Linked DNA regions of Schizosaccharomyces pombe. The protein of the gene in region 2 interacts with the protein of the main gene of each other region in a biochemical or structural test. Each region holds a gene or a part of one and is shown on either strand. Other genes may lie near its edges.

Evidence for each region.
Region 1: of the proteins of knh2 (region 2) and lkh1, one has a biochemical effect on the other in vitro, tested with the Schizosaccharomyces pombe proteins (one large-scale study listed by BioGRID).

What each region holds. Positions count from the first base shown.
Region 1 is NC_003424.3:654,181-663,460, forward strand, and holds lkh1 (dual-specificity), read right to left. Parts: upstream 5,998-9,280; 5' UTR 4,653-5,997; coding exon 2,580-4,652; 3' UTR 2,061-2,579; downstream 1-2,060. Other genes in the region: 3' tRNA-processing endonuclease tRNAse Z L2 Trz1, read left to right, coding at 16-2,060. UniProt on the Schizosaccharomyces pombe protein: Protein kinase that may act as a negative regulator of filamentous growth and flocculation. Appears to have a role in normal cell wall and septum formation and in cell separation.
Region 2 is NC_003421.2:1,305,777-1,312,293, reverse strand, and holds knh2 (conserved fungal cell surface protein, Kre9/Knh1 family, Knh2), read right to left. Parts: upstream 2,686-6,517; 5' UTR 2,515-2,685; coding exon 1,726-2,514; 3' UTR 1,347-1,725; downstream 1-1,346. Other genes in the region: rpl2302 (60S ribosomal protein L23), read right to left, coding at 1-205, 471-642; SPOM_SPCC1322.09 (uncharacterized protein), read right to left, coding at 4,521-5,165, 5,320-5,498, 5,557-6,100.

The DNA of each region.
Region 1 (9,280 bases), on a different chromosome or scaffold from region 2:
AATTTCTGACAATAGGCTTTTTGCTGTCTCTCAATGATATTTCGGAACCTGGGGAAACCGGAGAAGCTAGTCCTTTTGTCCTTCATGGACCTAGTGAAGTTCATCAGTTTTTATCTTCGATGCGGCATTTCACTTATCATACGAATGTAAATTTAACGGTACAGGGATATACTTCGGCTGAGGCCCCAGTATTCGTTGATGAAAATATTTGTGTAACTCCGGTAGTTGTTTCACTAGTTAAAAATTCTTTTAAAAAAAGGAAGCATGAAAACATTAACAGAGGTACAAATGCAAGACCATTAAAAGAGGATAGAGCAAATACTTCTCCTCATTGGTATTCTCACGTTTCCAATGATACATCATTCGTCGTTGAGAATGCAATGTATAACACTCCGGCTCCTTTGGAACCAGACAAGCCAGAGCTGTTTATTTCTTATATTGTTCAATCCCATCCTACCCCAGGGAAATTTGACGCCGCAAAAGCAAAATCGCTTGGTATCACGAAAGGATTAGACTGTGGTAGACTCGCTCGAGGAGAACCTGTAACTCTTGAAAACGGAAAAACAGTATATCCAAAAGAAGTGATTGGTCCTTCTATTCCTGGCTCCTCCTTTTTTATTATTCATTGCCCCAACGAACTCGTAATTGACTTGGTCATTGAAAATCATAAATGGACAAATGCACCTAAACCTGTTTGTGTCATTCATTCGGTTACACCAGAAGTATACAAAAATCCACGTTATCAGAGCTGGATTTCTTCATTCCCAAGTGAGGTGAGCCATCTAATTGCTTCGACTGAAGTAAACGAAGTAATAAATTATCCTAGGAGTGCAGTCGCTATTGCAACACTTAATTTGTTAGATTCAAAAGTTTTTCCTTTAGGCTTTAACTGCTATGAAGTTAAAAATGTACAAAAAAACAATCGAATTGCTTTTGCCAAACCCAAACTGCGTTTTGCGTTTGGAAAAAAAACTGGTATTGACGATTCGGAAGTTGGGGTTTCGATTGAAGAGTTGAAGGATAAAATTTTGAAAGAGAAACCAGATTATAAATCATTTGTTGAAGAAGCTCAAAAATATGTTAGTGATAAACCAAAGGCACCGAGCTTTGCAGGTTCTGACATCCAAATTTGTACTCTTGGCACTGGATCTGCAATGCCTTCTTTATACAGAAATGTTTCATCTACTTACGTTAGAATTCCCGTTGACAAAAAATGTATGGAAGACTCAGCTATCAGTATGAAAAACATACTTTTGGACTGTGGAGAGGGCACTTTGGGACGTCTATCGAGGCAGTATGGTGACAATTTAAAATACGAAATAGCTTCTTTACGATGGATTTATATCTCCCATATGCATGCTGACCATCATGCTGGTGTTATAGGGGTTTTAAAGGCTTGGACGAAGTACTCAGATGGCAGATCAAAGTTGTTTATAACAGCACCTCCACAATTTGAATTTTGGCTACTAGAATACTCAAGGATTGATTATCTACCATTATCCAACATCGTATTTATTTCCAATAGTGCTTTACGTACTGACAGGAAGCCGTCTGCTTTGGAATCCTCTAGGTTGTCTTCTTTATTTAAAGAATTTGATTTAGTATCTTTTCGAACGGTTCCTGCCATACACTGCCCGTATTCATATTGCATGGAGATTACTAATTCCAGTGGTTGGAAGATCGCATACTCTGGAGATACTCGACCTTCTGAGGATTTTGCTAACATTGCCAAAGACTCAACTTTATTAATTCACGAAGCTACTTTGGAAGACTCTATGCACGAAATTGCAATAAAAAAGCAACACAGTACTTACTCTGAAGCTTTAGAAGTGGCCAAAAAAGCTGGTACAAAAAACGTTATTTTGACTCATTTTAGCCAACGATATCCCAAATTACCAGACATTGATATTTCGACAGAAGACTTACATATAGCTTTGGCGTTTGATGGAATGACTCTTAAAATATCGGATATCTCATTGTTTCGTTATTTTGGAAAGCCTCTGGCTTATCTATTTAATGAGGAAAATTTAAAAGAGGAGTCGGATCCTTTAAAGTTCTAACTACTTGAGCTATTGTCTCATATTATATAAATTGGGTCTCAGGCAAGTGATCTCTGTTGTTTAATGAAATGGGCAAACCTTTTCTTCATTATACAATTATGTTCATAACAAAATACTTCAGACTTCAAAAAAATTGTCAAGGTAATCCGTATCTATTAAAATAGTCCTGAAAACCATTAATGATCTTTTTTTCTTTTATTTCACTGAGTAACTACTATTTAACCCAAGGACCAAAATTTACGAGTGTAATTGACGACTTAATCAAACCTTTATGGAATAATCTAAAAAGAGGACAATTTTGAGTTTTAATTTATATCGGATAACCAAGTACTCTATGCAATTAAAGTAATTGTAGAACATGCGAGTTTTCGTCTAAGAAACTGAATAATAACAAACGAATAAACATCAGCTAAAGCGTAACACAAACCAGAAATACGAGACTTCCGTAGATTTGTAAATTAGAAAGAGTGAAAATTATTGAAAAACATGAAGTAAATTATAAATCTCTAAGTTTATCCATCACAAATTTGAAGAAATTGGTTGGGTGAAAAAGGGATGCCAAAGGGCCTCTTTTGCAGTTATTCGCCGCTTAGGATCGTAAACGAATACTTTTTTCAATAAATCAAGCAGCAAAGCCACTTCTGGAGATGATACTGCAAATATTTGCTCTAGCGTTTGCAGAGATTGAAGATAATTAATGCTTTTTTTAGGCGTATTTGACAAAGGATAACGGACTTTTCCGTCAGATTTAAAAAAACGTTGCGATGTACGAGAGGAACGCGAAATCATATTCCTATCAAAGGGACCCAGGATTTTTTCCATCATGCACAGATGCTCACTATCTTCATGGGTTTGAAACAAGGCTTGTCCCGTGAATAACTCAACTAAAATACATCCAATACTCCAAACATCGCAAGGATAAGACCAACCCAACCCTAAAATAATCTCTGGAGCACGATAATGACGAGTACTCACTACACTGGAATGGTATTCATCTTCAAATGTTGCACTACCAAAGTCGATAAGCCGGATTTCACAACTATTAAGGACTTTCTGTGAATAATTCCGATAAGGTAATCGAATAGTTCTTGAGGCATTAGATACCAGAAGAACATTTTCGGGTTTAAGATCGGTATGTACTAGTCCCAAAGAGTGAAGAAACGCAACACTTTTAAAAAGTTGTTGGGATAGCATCTGAATATGCTTCAAAGGGAAAGGAATGTAGTTGTTATTCTTTAAAAAATCAAAGACACTCCAGCCAAAAAGATCAGTCACAATGCAGATGTGCTTGCGGTAATCGAAATAATCGCGTAACTGAATGCACTTATTTTCATTTGTCGGATCACTATGAGCTATAGTTTGTAAAACTCTTAATTCAATGAGACTAGCTTCTCTGTACTTTGGAATTGCTCGAGTCACCTTGATAGCACAATGTCTACCTGTACTTTGATCGTAACACTGGATAACTTTGCCAAAAGTACCGTGCCCAAGCAAACGAACAACTGTATAACGGTTGGCAAATTTGGAGTTAGGTACAACCTTGTAATGACCGTCATCATCATCAAAAGTTGATGGATCAAAAGCGGTAGTATCATGCACAACAGGAACATTTACGCGGTCGACTTTTTTATATGGGGGCCATGCAGCTCGCTTCCTTTTCTTCGGAGGTCGATAATCGGAAATAGATACAGGAGTGATAACTTGATTGGCATTAGAAGCCGGTTGATAAACGTTTGCAGAAGGAGGTTGGAAAGTTGGTTGAGTCATCGGAAGCCATACGGCCAGCGTTGGAGATAATGGTACAGCGGTATGATTGTTAATGGAACTTGGGGTGACGGAATAATTTACACTTTTATGTTGAGACGATTGCGAGGAAGGAGCGATAGCAGTAGCCGGAGCTAGCTGAGGAGGGTTAGAAGGACAATACGTTGCAGGACATAGTGGGGGAGGATAAGAGGTTGGAGACGAGTAAGGATGATTATGGATGGGATGTGGAAGCCTGTTCGGATGGACTTGGAGCTTTGGTAAATTAGGGATCACTGGAGGTTTAGAAATTGGTTGGTGAGGTAAATTAGGAGAGGGAAGCGAAACCGGGTACCAGTGTGAAGGAACTTGAGGGACAGGAGGCGGCCGTAAAACAGGTTGACATGAAACAGGTAGTGGATTATGAAGGGGAGGATGATGTGAATGGGGAAATGGCGATTGATTATTTGAACACGCATGATACGATGTAGGAGACTGAACCATATATGAAGGATGGCTGGCGACATCATGCGGTAATGGAACGACGCCATTAGCATCCAACCATGGATCATAGGATTGAGGAAGAGATACCGAGTTAGTTGATGGATAAACAGCATTCGCACCATTGATAGGGACTGCCACAGTGCCAGTGGTAGAGGGTGATGATGATGAGGGAGGTTGCGGAGGTACGAAGGATTGTAATTGATGAACAGAAAAAGGAGGCGGTAAATTAGGGGTAAGCCGTGGAGAAGCTGAGTCCTCTATAACAATGACTTCTTGTGGAACACCATTTTTATAAAAGTCCTGCCAATCAGGCGCATGATTTCTACGACGTTTTAAGGAATGCATTTTACAATAAAAAGATTCCGTCTAAGTCATGCGAGCAAATTGGTAAAGTGAAGAGGTAGAAGACGTCGAAACCTGAAAAAAGGGATAAGTATCTTTTAGAATTATGCAAAACCAGAAGCAAAAATGATGAAAAGAGATACCAACCACCGAAAATAAGTGTTTCTCAAACAATAATAAGGGGAAAAGTTTCCTTGTTCGAAGTCACCAAGCGACAAAAGCAATAAAAAACCTTTTTTTTCGACTCGTCGAAGGGTAAGAACAAAATAGAAAGGCGGAATTTAAAAAATAAAAATAAAAAATGGACGAATTAAAGCAATAGAACTGAACTGACAAGCATTCGACAATTGGTGTTGGACCAGAACAGCTAGTTCATCAAGAAGCAGAGAATGGGAGGAAGAATGAGCAATCAAGTTAACTGGTACACCTACTTCGAAAGAGTTTCAAAATTTGAATGCAATCACGAAGAAAGAAGTTAAAATTCTCGACGTTGTAAAATTGCAAGGCCGTCGATCAAACGATAAATCAGCAAAGAAGCGGAAAACAGTGAGAAAGTGAACTTGAAATATATTTATCAAACCAAATGGTTTCTTATATCAGGGAGAAGAAAGCCGTTTTCTCAGAATAAAGACAATTGACGACAACCACTAAACCCCTTTCTCAATCAAATGTAGGGTGCAACAGTAAAGAGAAACAGCAAATGCAAAAAGGTATCGGAGAGAAATAAATATCTACAATACCGGAGAATAAGTATGCCGAACACGGAGGGTCTGTAAAGGCAAATCAAACACGAAAAAACGATAAACACCAAACCTTCAATCAACAACTAGCGGAAACCTTTGTATCAATCGTATTGCTTTAAAGTAATGATGTTCCAAGGCAATATTGTACCATGAGACAATGATGAGGTTTTTGTGTTTGAGGGGGTGCGATTGCGCTACTACCAAAATTGATCAATGTCCAAATCAGGCGGATTAGTAATTTGGATAAAACAAAAGTATAAATAACCCCCAAAAGAATCGGCAATTACCAGGGCAGTTTTCAAAAGCACACAAAGTCGACGACAAGCGATGTAGCTGTAGTACGAAAGTCTACCTAACAAAATGGTAGATCGTAGATGGAGAAAAGCAAGTAGTGAGTGTAGTAAATTGAAGAATGAAGTATATACGACTCTTAATAAGCAATTTTCTTTTTCTTTCCTTCAATCCCACAGAATGTAATTCCAATGGGGGGGGGGTAAAACAACAAAGCAATGTCCTAATAATACAACTGCTAAGAAAACTAGTAATTGAGGATAGAAAGGATAAAAGAAAAAGCCTCAAGCCAATTCGAGGGATGTGGAGAAAGTAAAAAGGAATTAGCAAGAGTTTGGATAATAATAAGTTGCGTTTTCTTTGGTAAAGCCACTTAGAAAAGGTGAAATTTGCATGAGATAATCATGTTTGTGAGACCGGAACAACATCATTGTTATTCTATCCTTAAAATAAAATAGCTGGAAAAAATTGGCCGGACGAGGGAACAACCCAACAATCACCATCCAGGCGCGTTGCGTTTGGCACCTCCTTCCTATGAAAAAGTATACACATTCCACAACACCATGTGCGCAGTATGCAACGTACCTAGCCGTCACCCAACTATAGCGTAAGAGACGCTTGCTACTCTGAAGGGCTGAGATCTACGAAAACCGCCATGGCCGTAGAGGCAGAGGCGCTGAATGAATTTTCATTAATTTAGATCACTAATCATTTACCATTCAAATGCCGCTCCATTCAACTCAACCATATTCACTTAAGGAGTTTTCGTAAGAAATGGCTTATCATTGTCATCATACCATTCAAACATCAATACACACCACACATACACACACACACAAATGTACACAAGCATGCACACTCATACACATATATAAACGCATGTTTACATAAATAGTTATAAAATTTACATATAGTTTTACGCATAAATAATGCAACTGTCATTCTCACCATCTCTATCCAACTCTACCTACCATGTACTATATACTGTATTATACAATGAATGCTATATGCCCGCTTATACTGTAGCTGCCTTGTCGCCCGCCCCATTTGTCCATGGTATAGTATTCCGCACAATTCTTTACCAGAATAGAAATGAAATATAGAAAACATGCCTTTTCAGAAGCGTTTCTCACACTTTCAACAAATGTCGTCCAGCCCATCTGCCAAATTCTCTTACCAAACTAGTCTTGATTATGGCCATCCGTCCTCGGTAATCGAATATTTCGTCCAAACAGCGACGCTTGGCCATCAAAAAATTTAGTGGATGACAATAATCTATGTAACAAATAATACGATAAAATTGCCATGATGAGTAACAAAACAACAAAGGCAATAATTCATCAACTATTGAATAATCATTTAATGGTCGCGAAAAGGAAACAAATATAATTTTCTACAATCAATCATCTACAATGACTGATGTTAGAGCTTGAAAACGGGATGTGAAAAATTCAATCAACATGACTTCAAATGGGGTGAGAAATTGTAATTAAGCAAAGGAAAAAAATAGGCAACAAGGCATGGTTGTAGCTGCAATTAAGGGACTAATGTGTCGTGAAACTCAAAAATGTAAAAAAAAGAATGACAATCCCCTTGCATAATTGAATTACCCGTTGAAATTTTTGGGAAATCCGGTTACTGCAGACGGAAGTTGAAAGTCAACTTTATCTCGGTTCTTTTTTTCCTTTTTTTTTTTTTTTGCAACTTCCTTACCGGCACGCAAGGTCCGTCGCACTTCTGGACCAGGAGTAAACTGCTTACTTATTGAAAGAACAAAGAAAATTTTAACCTTTCTTTAAATACGCTTTCTTTTCTTTTTCTTTTTTCAGGCTATTTTTTTGCTCCTCCCGTCATCCCTAATAGCTAGTCGGCTTTAACGATTATTATTTTAGGAGATGCTAAAGTGCAGATTGACGGTCTTGTTCGTAATTTGCAATCAGTCTATGTCATGATCCCTGACCTCAGTACAGTGGAAGCTGTCTGGCTGGCAAGGGTAAAGGCTAGTAAGTACTATCAATTATGTATGTCAGTTGTGGATGGGGAATTATTATTGAGACTTTTTACAAAGTGTCAAGCTCGAGATTTGGCCATTACATGTCGGTAAAGCAGCTGAACAGCGATATGCCGTTCATAAAAAAGCGTCAGCACAAGTGAAATCAAGTGTCATGACATGAAAGTCTAATCGGTTATTTGCAACATTAACCGAAACTTGTAGAAAATGCGCTCTTTGGCAGTTGAAAAACGCAGACATTACAGATGCTATAAATACATAGTATTAAAAACATAATAACAAATAACAATAACATGTTAATTAATCTTGCTATACATAGTAACATCTATAAAACGCAGTGTAAACAGAAATCATTTTGACATGAATTTCTTATGTAACAAATGAATCTTCCATCTTTAAAGGGAAATCCGATCGCTGTGTTCTCAAGTTATCGACTCCTTTTTCTCATAGCAAAGGCTGAGCAAGCAATCAAAGCTTTTGCTCCTAGGATTATCTAGGACGATGCAACTTCAACATTCGTTGAACGGACCGCATACCCATTTCCTAGGTTCAGGATTTAAGCTTTGTATTGTGTTGTGTGGTAGTACAATTAAGCAAAAAGGAACCGAACCGTTGGGGCTGAATATTGTTTTTCACTATCAAACAGGTAATAAGATATATATGAAGCAAGCAACTTATTTGTAAGCCTAGCTAAATGCTTTATCAATATAAACTCGAGGGAAATATTGGTAGCATAGTATTCCTTTAACTTTTCTTTTTTTTTAAATTAATTTTGATTTCACTTTTTAGTTAACGAAAAGAATTATTTTTTATTTAATAATGGCAAGCGGAGTTGTTTCAATCCAATATATTACATTTACCAGTAAAAAAATTCGATACTTTCCCTCCACCGTGTTAAATTGCTGCATTTTTTTGCATGTTACGGGATGTAAGGAAATAATCTCAAACCAGTCATCCTTACTTTGGTTTCCTACATTTAATGAGCCATGCCATCTATCCTCTATTTCAATACCTTCCTTCCCATTTTTTTCTGCTAAATCGATATGTTGTTTTTTAAATACTCTTTGTTATTAGTACTATATATGCACTATTGATTTTGCTAGCAATGTATTGTATTATTTGTATGTTTTGTAGAAAATAACCTACTCGCCAACCCAAAAATACCAGTTGTTTCCGACAGCGTCATTTATTCATCACACTTTTCCGAAAATCGGCTTTACAAGTCCCGAGTAAAAGTGAATCAAGAAACAGCTACCATGAATTTGATCAACGATTTTGAGTAACCACAGAAAAACTCAGTATGGCCCATTACGGTTGGAATGGGTCGTTGTTATGAATGCCATTTTCTTGTTACCGAGCGGCAAACTCCAACAGTATATTGTTTTGTAGCATCGCTAATGAATGATTCGTTAAGTTTGTTTTCGTGGAATTTCATGCTCTTCTTTTATACCCGAAAGCCGGATACTCGTCGATATACTAGATGTGTAGTGAGTTAATTAATTAGCCAGAAATTAGTGAATGGGAGAGATTTTTAAAATATCAAGATTGATCATTACTAATCATCTTTCATCTTTCACAATACTTGT
Region 2 (6,517 bases):
TCAGCACATTCTTTAGCAACGGGACCAGTGATAGCAGAACCCTTCATTTCACCCTTGGGGTTGACAATAACACCAGCGTTATCTTCGAAGTAAAGATAAACACCGTCCTTACGGCGCCAGGCCTTACGTTGACGAACAACAATAGCAGGCATGATCTTCTTACGCAAGTCAGGCTTACCCTTCTTGACGGTAGCAAGAACCATATCTAAAAAAATTTCGTTAGCAAGGCAATCTTAAAATTTTCCGCTCAAACATAAGCAAGGAAAAGAAAAAGAAGAGAAAAAGCACATATAAGAAATTATCAAATACAAAATGACTCTAGCTTTGCTAATGAGCCTTGAAACCAAGGCAAAGAAAGCCAACTTTTTAATCGAGTTCATACGCAACCGTCCAATTTAGGCCATACTCTCACTCGAAATTAAAGCCAAAAACTTTTGTACTTTGCACTTTTAATCAAACATATTACTTACCACCACAACTGGCAGCAGGGAGACGGTTAAGACGAGCACCAGTACCAAAAACGGAGACAATGTAAAGGTTCTTAGCACCGGAGTTATCAGCACAGTTCATAATGGCTTGAACTGGAAGACCCAAGGTCATTCTATACTTAGTACCAGAGGCAGCACCGCGTCCACGAGACATTTTGTGATAATTTTCTGCTGGTGTTTGGTTGTAGAAGGAACGTCGAACCCGCAAGTTTGCACTAATGAGAAATGTTACCTTCAAAATTTTGTGACTGCTCTCTTTTCTCAACACAAAACAAATTCAACATCGTCTTACAGGTAACAGTATTTTTTTCGGGTTTGCAGTAACAATTGAGGAAGGAAGGAAGGAAGGAATAAACAAAAATAGGAAGTATAAGAGACTAGGTGTAATGTTCCAACAGTATGTTACTAGAAGCGGCCGATATATTTTTTACATGATTCAGAAAGCGATAAGCTACAGGTCCGAGAAATTTTGAGCGAAAACGGCCGACGGCTTGGTTGGAATGTGTGGCATATGTAAATGTATTACAGCTAACAACAGAATGGTTGCAAAATTGCATCTTAGATTAAATGATATATTTGATTTCAACGATTTATAATGAACAGCTTGTAATTATCTATAAACAGTACTTTACTCACCATCGTGAAATCAATCCTCCGCTAACTCACACTAAACTAGATCAAATTTAAACATACATATATATATGCTTATTCATACTTCAAAAAATGGATTTATGACTGTAATGAAGGAACAAGTAAAAGTAATTTGCATTACCATAAAGAACGTTTCTTCACAATTCAGTTAATTCTTTGAACTATAACAGTTTACAGAAACTACACACACAACTAACTGTATAGAATATATGAAATGAAATGGAATTGCTATATGATGATGATGATCAGCTATGAACAAGACATGCGTGACTTTTTAGAAACCATCAGGCGCACAAAAAAAACTAACGTTTAGTATAAAAGAGTAGCAAAATGACCAGACTAATGATGATGAAAAGATAGATTTCAAATGATTTGCCAAATATATGAAAAGGAATGAAAAAAAGCAGTATAAACAGAGGGCGCAAGTTAAATGATAAAAAAAAACAGACTAAAAATATAATGCGCCCCTCATATGTAGCGATGAGTAGATGAACTAGATAGATATTTTTTTCGAAATATGTTTCAATGGTTCTCTGTGGTAATTCGAAGGTTGAAGCATAGTAGGCCAACTCGGTTGTCAGCTTCTTTAAGCAATAAGCATAAGAGCGGCAATACCCATGCAAGCAGCAACGGAGAGTTGTGCAACGCCGTTGGAAACAGCACCGCTATAAGAAGTGTAGCTAGAGGAGCTAGAGTTACCGGCGGCAGAGCTGGAAGCACTAGTGGTAGAAGTGGAAAATCCGCTAATAGTGGAGTTGGAGCTAGCACTTACGGTCTTGGCATCGGCAGAAGAGATGGATCCACTGGAGCTGGCAGAAGAGGAGCTAACAGAGGAAGAAGCGGAAGAAGAGATGCTTGAGGTGATGCTAGAGGAGATAGGGGTAGAAGAGCTGCTAGAGGAAGAAGAAGAGGTAGTAGAGCTAGAAGAGGGGGTGGCAGTGCTAGAGCTAGTGGAGGAAGCAGAGGTAGAAGAGTAAATACCACCGCTAATGGTGCTAGCAGCCAAAGTGGAATCACTACCTTCAAAGTCGAATTGCTCAGATTGAGCCAAACTACCTTGGTTTTGAGAAGTAGCTCCGTTGAAGTAAATTTGCCATCCGTCAGTGGGGAGATCAGAAGAGATGGAGATGTCGGTATCCAAAGATCCAGCGGAGGATTGGACAGTTCCGAGATTAAAGTTTTGGTTGGGATAATGAGCATTGTTCACCAACATAATAACCATCTCCTCGGGATCAGTGCTGACAGAAGACCAGGTGACGGTGTTCACTTGGCCGGATTGCCAGGTGGTGTCACGAGTAGGAGAAGTGACAGAGACGGCATAAGCAGCAAGTGCATTAGCAAGAAAGAATAAAGTGGTACCGACACGAGCAAGCATTTTCACGATTACTTAAAAGAAATGAGAAAGAAAAGATGAAAATTAATGAAATTAATTTGTTTATATTAAATGAAATAAAAAGAAAGATGTTTAAATGAAAACCGCTCGCTCAATTAAACAGCAAAAGCTTGTACAAAGAACGATACAAGTACTTAGTGTATGGTTAAAACTGAACCTCCCATGGAGCAGCCTTCCATATATATACTGGAAAACTGTCTCTTCACGTCATGGCAATTTTTGGAGGAGGCTGAGAAGGGTAACCGTTACCACACCGACCAACCCCCTCAATGGTAACGGATAATATTTTTAGATGCGGGCAGTGAGAAAGTAAACACACCACCAAAATGTAAACAAACAAAGACGCGTATACCACAACAAAATGCGTACCTTAGTAATAGGAATAAATCTTTTTCAATAATTAAACAGAGGTACTTTGTTACATGTTTTTTATTACGATTTCCCAATTATAGGATGCATCTGGCTCGTGTCTTTGTATTATGGGAGTGTATATGTCTTTCTGGCCAACTATCGGACTGTGTGACTTTATTTACGAAGTAGTGAAATCACAGTTTCAGCCATCTTCATCAAGCATTCTTCATTCAATTAGCTTACTTTTTACTAAATCTTATCCCATCTGCCCTTCCCGCCCGCCCTATGTCGTCAATTCTACTCTTGTCTTCCATATACTCACTGTCAAAAAGTCATAATCGCGCATATGGAGGTGGCTGGCAGATGAGGTTATGTCGAGCAAAACAGGGAAACATACATCAATTCCAAACCGATTCGGTCAGCTAGCCAGCAATGGAAATAAGCGGAATAGGAAATAATCCGCAATGATCCCGTTTTCAAAAAATTGAATGCGTATTCCAGTTCGGATGCAATGCGTCTGAAAACTTTCATTCAGTTCTTCCACCTCCCGACCATATGGCAAAACCAATACCGACGATGACTAAAGAATAGTAAAAAACGACCAGCCAACCTACCAAAAAAGACAGACGATTTGCAATTCAAGCTTCTTTCCATTTTTTTACTCTTTTGTGATTTGCATTTTCTTATACCGAGAGTATTAGCAACACATAATTGCCTTTACCGCACACTTCATTATTAACAATTCCTTTAACGTGACACAAGAAACTGCGTAGTAAGATTTATTGCTTGTCTCAGTATATAGTTAAAAATCAGGTTAAATAGCTTATTAATGCGTTTTGCCTGATTTCATATCACCTTTTGCCTGGGAATTCACATCCAATCGTGACCTTTTTTTTTACCAACATTTCGTCTAATGACATGATTGCTGCCTTGCTCAGCAACCTGCTTGGGCCAACGAAGTTACCTGTTTCCACCTAGTTTCGTAAATGAGCTAGCTGTAAAAGACAAGCGATAATGAGGCGGATACTTAATTGGTCTTATTCATCATCAACAGGTGTGCTAGCACTCAAATAAAACTTTTCTAAAAGGGCACATGTCTTAGTCCATAAATACTTTTACTTTCCCTTTTTCTCTTTGTAAATAAGATAGCCCATTAAAACTCGCTAAATCCCATTATTTTGCATCCTAATGAATGGCTCGTTAAGTTTATCGTCACGTTCGTCTTATGATCCCACTCTAATATGTTGCAATTAATAAATAACAGAATACGTTACAGAGCGCTAATAGATGAAATGCTAGTGTAAACAGATGAAGAAAATCCACCTTTCCATCTCATCAAATAGTTTGCTTTGTTTCTAACAGCTGTGTTCTCTTCAGCAGCTAATGTAAATGTTTTAATTCTCTTGTACCGATATTTTTAAAGCGTATATACCCACTCTCATCGAAAAACATTCACATGTTGCTGTGCTACTGCTTAAGTCTCTTCGCTCACTACTCTAACATTGCTCTATCATATTGAAAAGCACGTCAATATTATTACGATTATGTGGCACAAAGAAAGTAGTTTCATTTGTTATTTCCTTTTTTAAATTCGAAACAATGCATCAAAAGTTCATAATTCATTAAAGTTGAATCAATTAGGCATACATGGCTCCGTCATAATATGGAACTGGAGTTTCAGATGAACCAGTGTTAACATCTTCTTCCGGTAAACCAGCGAAAAGAGAAGGATCGCCAAGGGCCATACGCTTTGAGGTATACATTTGGGCAACAATACCTGCTGCAACAGAAATGGATTGTTCCACCCATTCTGTTACCCATTCATTTGGTAATATGGCGTTAGAACCGAAAAGCTTAATGTATCGAGGGTCCACAGCCCATCGTTGCCATTCAAGCGGCAAAGGTTGAGAAGTGGTAGAAAACTCCAAGTTATGATTAGTATCGTTAAGGTGAATAAGAAAGCATAGTTGCTCATCATCCGAAACTTCTTTATTTTTGATAGTAAATGCTTGGATTACGAGAAGTAAGTGAGTTACTCGAACCATAGGAGATTCTGAAGCGTCTTCATCATCACCAGCTCCAACATTTTCTTGCTTGTTTTCTTTGTTCATCTTTTTAGCCTCCGTAATAGGTTCAGCTAAATTGGCTTTTGCAAGTTTTTTCGCTTCCAAATAACCATTACATAGACCAAAGTCTTCATAGACATCGTTCGTTCGGGGTCGAACCTTAGCTTCCTTATCCAATAACACCGTTAATTCACCTCCTTCTACTTGGAACATCACCTGGTAACATGTCAGTAAAATTATCCCATAAAACTTAATTATGATTATGCATTGACCTATCTGTCTTTTGAAAACCAAGTAATCGGTGACAGCATAAAAGAAAGCACAAATATTAGTGCTATGTCCAAAGCGTAAACGTAAATACGCAACTTACTTTTTCAAAGCTTTCATACACTATACGGTCCAGGTGTGCAAATCCTGCTAGATCATGAAATACCGTCACCTGCAAAACTTCATGATCATGAATAGGAGGTGCCACCACGTTCAGAACGTTGTGAATTGTATTGCTTAATGTGGGAAGGGCCTTACTCCTTATTCCATTGCTCAAATCTCCTAAAAGACATTTGTTAGCAAAAGGAACTCTTTCTTCCAAAAGAGAAATTCTACTTACCAAGCTTGTTCAAGTCCACCATATTACGCACGTTAATATCCCAGTTGGCATTCTCTTCAAACCCTTTTATGGAGCGAACTCGTTGTTCAGCTGATCGAACAGCAGCGGACGCAGTGGACCAAAACCCACCAAGCCAGTTGCTCTGTTTGGGTGTTTCTACATGTTCTTGGAACTCCTGGGACTTGTTGATTTCGTTAACCGTTTTTGGAGTAGCGGATTCTGTATTTTTATTTATAGTTGTCTGAGCCGCTTGAGACGGTTGATTTGATGCATCATGTTGCTGACGTTCATTCGAGGTAGCTGCGACAGATTCATTTTCCTCGTTGGCCTCTTCTATAGGATTTTTCTCATTCTTTTCTTCGTCATTCTCAAGCTGATCTAAAAATTCCAGCAGTTCTTTTTCGTCCTGCACTTCAGATGGGGCACCAATTTTGGAGTCGTCGTTGTTGAACTCTTTGGAAGTGGGATCTGCTTCCATGCCAAGTTGATCCAATGATGCCATTAATGTTTCGACATCATCAGTTTGCTCTTTGGTCTCTGCCATACTGTTTAGCAGGAATATCACACGGTCTTGTCTAGTTGATGAGTTTCGTAGGCTGAAAAAGCCACATTAAGGACTCCTATAATATAACGGTAAAAATCCTCGTTAAGAAAATTTTATGCAATTATTATTATATTATTACATTATGAAAGAATTTAATAATTTCGTTTTAAAAGTAAAGTCGTGAACTAAGGTATGTGAATTTTAAAAAAGTTTATCTAAAAAATAACATAAAAAGTTTACTGTACCATGTTTGTTCTTATGATTCTCTCACCAATATTGATCGAACGACATTCTGCGAGTCAATTATGCAACAGTGGTCTTGATCGTGCAACTGATGCGTGAATTTTATAGGCATAATGCTTACGAGAAACGAGAAAGCAACAGATATTTATTATCCGTGCGCTGTAACTTACCTAC